2 linked regions of the Bombyx mori genome follow. The protein of the gene in region 2 purifies or fractionates together with the protein of the main gene of each other region. This does not show direct contact. Links are inferred from orthologs where the notes say so. Each region holds a gene or a part of one and is shown on either strand. Other genes may lie near its edges.

Evidence for each region. Proteins that work in one complex are often made in the same cells at the same time.
Region 1: the proteins of src substrate cortactin (region 2) and actin-related protein 2 purify together in Homo sapiens (affinity purification with mass spectrometry; 3 studies listed by BioGRID and IntAct, with this or other methods). This does not show direct contact. The link is inferred for Bombyx mori from reciprocal best matches to the Homo sapiens genes CTTN and ACTR2.

Annotation. Positions count from the first base shown.
Region 1 is NC_085130.1:7,235,451-7,239,212, forward strand, and holds the start of actin-related protein 2, read right to left. Parts: upstream 2,846-3,762; 5' UTR 2,666-2,845; coding exon 2,618-2,665; intron 2,534-2,617; coding exon 2,423-2,533; intron 1-2,422. Other genes in the region: CCAAT/enhancer-binding protein zeta, read left to right, coding at 3,262-3,420. UniProt on the Homo sapiens protein: ATP-binding component of the Arp2/3 complex, a multiprotein complex that mediates actin polymerization upon stimulation by nucleation-promoting factor (NPF).
Region 2 is NC_085113.1:1,685,219-1,688,888, forward strand, and holds the start of src substrate cortactin, read left to right. Parts: upstream 1-811; 5' UTR 812-1,079; intron 1,080-1,248; exon of another isoform or gene 1,249-1,292; intron 1,293-1,950; coding exon 1,951-2,090; intron 2,091-2,780; coding exon 2,781-2,867; intron 2,868-3,670.

The sequences.
Region 1 (3,762 bases), on a different chromosome or scaffold from region 2:
TGTTACCCGTGATGTAGCTAAATAGATTCTGCGATTCATTTTACGATAACATTATAATGAATTATGAGCAAATTACTGGTAGAACGTCTTGTGAGTTCGCACGGGTAGGTACCACCACCCAGCCTATTTCTGCCGTGAAGCAGTAATGCGTTTCGGTATGAAAGGCGGGGCAGCCGTTGTACTGTTAAAAGTAAGACCTTAGAAGTCATGTCTCAAGGTGGGTGACGGCATTTACGTTGTAGATGTCTATGGGCTCCGGTAACTACTTAACACAAGGTGGGCCGGGCCGTGTGCTTGTACACCAATCTAAGCAATAAAAAAAAAGTGTGTTTGACTTATTTATTTTTGAGTGCAAATTTCCCACTAACAGGAGAGTAAATAACAAACCAGGGTATAAAGTCAAGAAGAAGGCGAAATTGTCAAACACTACAGTGTTTTTTTTTTATTGCTTAGATGGGTGGACGAGCTCACAGCCCACCTAGTGTTAAGTATTTACTGGAGCCCATAGACATCTACAACGTAGATGCGCCACCCACATTGAGATACAAGTTCTAAGGTCTCAGTATAGTTACAACGGCTGCCCCACCCTTCAAACCGAAACGCATTACTGCTTCACGGCAGAAATAGGCAGGGCGGTGGTACCTACTCATGCGGACTCATAAGTGGTCCTACCACCAGTAGAAAGTGTTTTAGTTTATAATCTACACATAGACAAACACTCACAAACAGACACACACGAGTTAAAAATGAAAACATGCCTTGTTTTGTCAACATTTTTAGTTGTGTTTTTAGTAATAAAAGTTGAGTTTGAGTAATCTCAAAATGTAGTGTAATTATTTTTAACATCATATTTTTACAATTTTTGGGACAAGATTTGTTTCAATTATTCATAGGACAGATAGTCTTGAACATGAATACTAAAAAAATTCAACAAATAAATGAATTTTAGAAAAGGATTTTTTGAAAAAAAAATTATATCTAGATTAATTCAAATCAAACAATCACTTAGATGTTTAGAGACTATGGAAGTTAAAGAAATCTAACACTATGTAGATATTCATTATCAATATCAGAGAGACCCCAGTTATACCTGGTTCTGCAGCAATAATATAAGAATACCATTATATCAATGAGATTTTGACTTTATTACTCTTCCAATATGTAGCATCCACTTGACTTCATTTGTCAAATTAAGAATACACCAGAATCCACATTCTCATATCTAGCTTACTCAGTAAAAACTCTATATTAGGTGAACAGTATAACTCTCTTGCCAATGTATATCTTTGAAAGAAGATTTCAATTCTAAAACTTAATTGTATTGGAGTAAAACTAAACAGCATGTAAGATTATCGTATTTAAGGGTAGAGTTCGGTAGATATTCACAAGACACTTTAAGCACACTTAATACATAATATATGTTAGTCCCCTTTTCTCTAGTTTTCATCTCCAAACAGCGCTTCTGAGAATTTGATAACATTATTTGGAGATAACAGTCTATTACAAATTGGATACCTCATGCTTGAGATATCTATTCATTCATATCTTTATAAAGCCACAAAGTATATAATGCTTGGTTTTCACTATTCCAAGTCAGAACCTGCTAATCTGGTAAATACTGGCTTTGCATGGATGTCACTATCACCCTGTGGCAGGTAACCATCATACAAAGCAAGTTGCCTGAATCTCGCTTACAACATTTTCAAGATAAAGTGCATATATACAAGTTCCGAACAACAACATTCGGACCATCGGTCTACCGAGCAATATCACCCGCTCGGTGGAAGATCTTCTCTTTGTCGTTAAGCCTCCCAAAACCCCATTCCTGGACTCTTTAAGTATACGAAGAGACTATTAAAATTCTTAAGCATATCTCAATCTTTTAATAGCCTTCTAACACTCATTGTTTTAGTTCCTATAGCATGCAGTTAGTTTCCAATGGAATAGGCAAACAGACTGTCGATAGACAGTTTGTCCTGAATTTTCTTTCCATATTTTATAATCCAGACTAATTTTTTAAATGAAACCTCTGTTTTGGTTTAAAAAAAGAATCTACTGTTGTTTCAATTGTTAATAATGCATTTAATCATCATCACACATCAGAAAGAAAATTAACGTTAGAACAATAAAACATTCCTAGATGTATTTATATTACTTACACCAATACAAATATCCTGAAAACACAGATCAATATTATAAATAATGAACAGAAATTCCTTTTTGTCTTCCTTGCTGTAACAAGGCTTACAAACTTTTAAGTATTGTAACTATTTTTATAGAGGTAAAATGATTTTATTAATTTTGTTACAAAAGTTTGTCCTTCAGGTTTCTATGTGCTTTACATTAACGTTCATTTGTTCGTAATAGGCCAATAAAAAAATTGTTGTCAACTTAATAATGAGAAAAAGTGTCTTCCACTTACCTTAACATCAATATCTCCTATTTTGTTTTCAGCGCGTATGATCGGCCTGCCGACCATGGAAGGGAATATAAATGCCGGAAAATTGCTACCAGCGAAGCCACATTTCACAAACTGTAATACATCGAAAGGAAAACCGTACGTGATTCAGAGCTTATCTAAAAATTCTAATAGTCTACAAATTTTGTGTTCACTTACGCCGGTACCGTTGTCGCAAACGATAACTTTCCGTCCTTTGTCGTCCATTTTATTTAGTTTTTAATTTATTTTATTAATATTAAAAAGTTATAATGTAATTTGTTTTTTAGAACACTACACAACTCCCCAACTCCCGCAAAGCGGAAAGCAAATCTCACAATTCTGTAAAAATGACAAATCGTTGTCATAAACTATATGCAGTACAAAATACACCTTTAAAGACACTTCGTATAAAGTTTTATTTTGAATGCAAAAATTAAATTCTTGTGTGACACACCTTCTCCTTGAAGTAATTAGTCTTTTTAGCATGTGTATTGAAATATTGTGTTGTCCGTAAAAAAACTGTCAGAATTTTAATTTAGCTATTTCAACCAAATTTAATCATTAATTAACTAACATATTTAATTAATTAAGAAGCAAAATAAAATGTTCATTGTGACTTTATTTGGCTCGTTAAAACTGACTCGTTAGGCCATACTTCAGTGGTTAGGCCCTGACACTGACATTTGACAGCCCAAAGTAATGATTTATCTAATGTCACACAAATGTCATACTTCAAGAAAGGCATGGTTTTGAGAAACGTTTGTTTTCAGGTTTTCACGTGCCTTATTTATATTTAACGTAACATGATACAATAACTTACAATGAAGCATAAAAGATTTGAGGAAAATATATTAATTGATGAGGCTTACACTAATTACGGTCAAGCTGATAAGAACGCAGATGATAAGAAAGGCCAGGGTATCGCAAAGAATTTCGCCGAAAGCCTTGAATATGGTGAAAAAAAGAAATGGTTTCATCAGGTTTGTGATATAGAACATAAGTCTAAATGTTTATTTTCCCTATTTAAAAAAAAGCGTAGGAAATAAGGCTTTAACACATCAATTCAAAATTGTATTTAACCTTTACTATGATTTCGATCGTCCAGTCGTATTAGTAATCGATGCTCATTCTTCTTCTTCTTCGTCGCTTTCTTCATTGCTGAAGGTCGTGTCCCTGAAACTTGACCGTTGCCTGTCTCGTGAGCTGTTTCCATCTCGTCCGGTCCTCAGCTGCTCGAATGGCGGTTGCGACTGGCAACCCAGTTAGAGATACTCATACGATGCTCATACCTAAACACTATAAAAAAAAAGATTTAAAAAAAT
Region 2 (3,670 bases):
CATCAAGTAAACGTGTTTCTAATAGTGTGGTACGTTTGTGGAGGTATCTACATAGCTAATAAAAGTATGTTTATTTAATAGTTGTTTTTTGTATGGTGTTTGTTTTTTTTTTGTGATATTTTAGTTGTAAGTGTTGTATTTTACGGAATAAAGTTAATGCAATGAAAATATGTATTTTAATAATAATTAAAACATGTCATTGAATGACAATGCAACGTCTTATGCGTTGAGCTCCGAGTTGATCGTTATTCTTTCATACGATAGTAAAGGGAAGGGGTGACTTTGGTGGCATCCTTGGAAAATTCAGGATTTTGCCCCCTTCACCACTTGTCACAGGCCTCCTGCCGACGCCCATATTGTAAACGAAGACAGCCATTTCGGATATAGGGTTAAACTCAGGGTCTATGAGCACAAAGTGGACGATCGTTGAAACTTCCGCACGTGAGTGGTGATTCGAAAGGATGGATACTGGTAAACGAGGCAAGCATCTTCCTGGAATTGGTGTTCGTTGGAAAACGTAGGCTGATTGCTCAGCTGGCAGTGTTGGAAGCTTGATCTCGCCCTCGATCATCGAGGTGGTTCACCCATTCCTTTCAGATTGGGTGAACCGTCACCAAGATCGTCACTCTTCGAGTTAATTACATTGAAGATCACATAAACAAAAATATGCTAAACGGTTGAGTTATTAACAGTTATAATAAATTGCTCAAGCTGATAGTAGAAAATGAATAATGTTATTGACATATTATGTGGTAGGTAACTACTTAATATTTTTATAAATTTTATTTTTTTGTATATCTCGTATATTTTAGTGTATAGTCTGTGATTCTATTTGACAACGATGACATCTGTCAGAGGCTGACGCATCACAAAAACCATCGCCCAAAATTTTATCCAAATACAAAATATGAAAGTAAAAACAAATTGAGAAAACGTTTTTTAGAGTTAAAAAATTCTCACCATTAAAATATATCGATGACATTTTAACCAGTCGATAATTTTTTATGCGTTAAAAGTGAAAGTTTAAAATAGAACTTTAAAAACGTGTTTGTTTTCCTCAACCGGTTCAAAGGAATAAGGTGAATTAAATTAGATTACTACTAATAAGTTGGTCTCAAGTCAATATTGAACTTTTATTATTCCAATAAAAGGATAGTTTTGTTATTCCAATATAAGTAATCAAATAAGTACCTGATTGTTTACGTAAATATAATTTTTTCGTGTTATCAAAATGTTTATCTAATTTTTTCTTCAGATAGTGCAAATATTATCAGTCGTCTGTAAAAGTATTAGTAAGTACACAGATAAATTGATTTGGAAAAAATAAGAAAATATTAAAACTTCTGCATCTCGTTCTATCAATGCTGGGGGTCATGACTACACGTCCTGTCCATGGCATCATCAACCTTATATCATTCGATATTTTTGCAAGTACCATCAGCATAATTATGTAATTGCAAATATTACAACAAGCACAAGATGCATTTTTGCTCCACACCTTTAAACTGATACTACTTTTGATTTTAATTGAGTGCTTATTGTCTTTCTATTACATTGTAGAGAGGCGTTTCCCTACGTGAGGCCTATGCCCTACAAGGGGCCAATTTGATAATTAAGTGGGGCAATTGCACTAAATGAATATAGAAAATCTGTATTAAAATTATTTTGAATTTGAATTTCAGTTTTTATTATATGTTTTGAAATATTACTTACTGTGTTCTGATAACAATTTCATAGTGATTTCTACCTAAAACCTAACATTTATGTTTCTTAAGTGAACAAATCAATTTTTTAATGTTAAAAATTATATTGTATGAGGGCATAAATATTTTACAAAAGTGGGAAACACTGTTTTATAGTTAGAAATAACCTGACAATAGCCCCTGTTTCCAATCTATAATTTGCACATAAGTCATTTTTAAAATATCTGTTCAAACATTTCACTCACAGATGTGGAAAGCTGCTACTAATGTGAAGGCACCAGAGCCTGCTGAAGCAGATGATTGGGAAACAGATCCCGACTATGTTAATGATGTGAGTGAACAGGAACAAAGATGGGGGCCCGCCGGAAGGAATGTTGAGGCAATTGAGTGAGCAATGTTTTTTAACCTAATTTATGAGGTTCGATTATAAAGCTTATACTGTTGAAGAACATGGTTGGGACTGCATTTACATGTATTTTCGTATGTCAATTACACAGTGTGAATAAATATTTTTGGGAAAGCATGACAGTTTTCCGCAACATTATTGGCTACCCTAATTTTACACATAATTGTTTGTAAAGTTAAACTATTATCACATATTTTTTCATGGGATGGAAAACATATGTGAAAGTGATAGGAAAACATATATGAAAGTAATAAAAAAGCTCAAAAATATAAATGATTATTTAATTTACTTAAATTAAGAAACACAAAAGTTGATCTACCTCAATACAGGCTAATAAAGCGTACCTAATGAATATCCTATGACGTAAAGAAAGCAATCTGTAATGTTAAAACCGCTTTGTAAATGTTCATTTGTTTTGAGACATATCATTTATGTATAATGAATTAGTCATGCTTGAAAAACTTGGAATTATTTTACATATTATATAATTTGTTGAATATAAACTGACCCTTGCTAAAGAGTGGTTATGAGGTCCCCTCGGTGAAGGGGTCCAGTGCTCAATATACGAACCAGATACTATACATGTTTTATATTAAATGTATTTATTATATTATGTAATATGTGCCCATATTATCTGCACCTATTACAATTTTATTATAATTCTTTAACAGCATGGCAAAATTACGTGAAGAGGTATTTGAAGCTGACAAATTAGCCAAGAAGAAACAGTATGAGGCTGGACCGAAACCTTCATTTGGGTATGTGATCAACTTTAAATGTGGTTTCCAGGGCCTGACCCAATAAAGCCTGGTATAGCCTGAATAAGGTGTATTCTTAAGTAGTAAAACAAGTACACTAATGAATTAATGATTGATGAATTAACATTGCATAAAATAAATCAACATGTTAAATTAATTATAGTGCACGTTACGTCAGCTCGCTCAAGTAAATAGATGCTAGATGTCATATAGCATAATTATCATTAAATTGAGACTTTGTTGTAGTGGATACTTGTAGTTGTCTTCAATAACAAAAGTCTCTGGTCAGTGAACCTAGAATAGTGACGATTAAGGCAGATTATATGACGAATAAACTATATTGTTACTTGGGTAAGAATAACGCCATCTGTCATTAAATAACAGAAACGAATATCAAAAGAACTAGTAGTATCGAGAACGCTCGAGATGTGCAACGCCATCTATTATCAAATATCGGAAACACATATCGAAACGTCTTGTTCTATCGTGAACTTTCTCAATAATTGTAATCTTGTCGTGTCTACTATAAAAGCATTGCAGAGATGACATGAAGGCAGTTGGTAATCTATTCGAAGCGAAACAGCGAACGGATCACGTGAAGCGAAGCGGAAGTGAAGTGCGAATTGTAAAGTGTTCCTAAGATGTTCTAAGTGTTAAATAGAGTTTTAATTAGTACTTCGCTGGAAGCTTTATTCATCCCGAGTCCCAGCGCGTAACAATATAATATACCATTTATGAGGAAATAATGACTAGAGGCTCTTTAATAGCATGGAAAGACCAATACTATCAAAGATGGTGTGTTT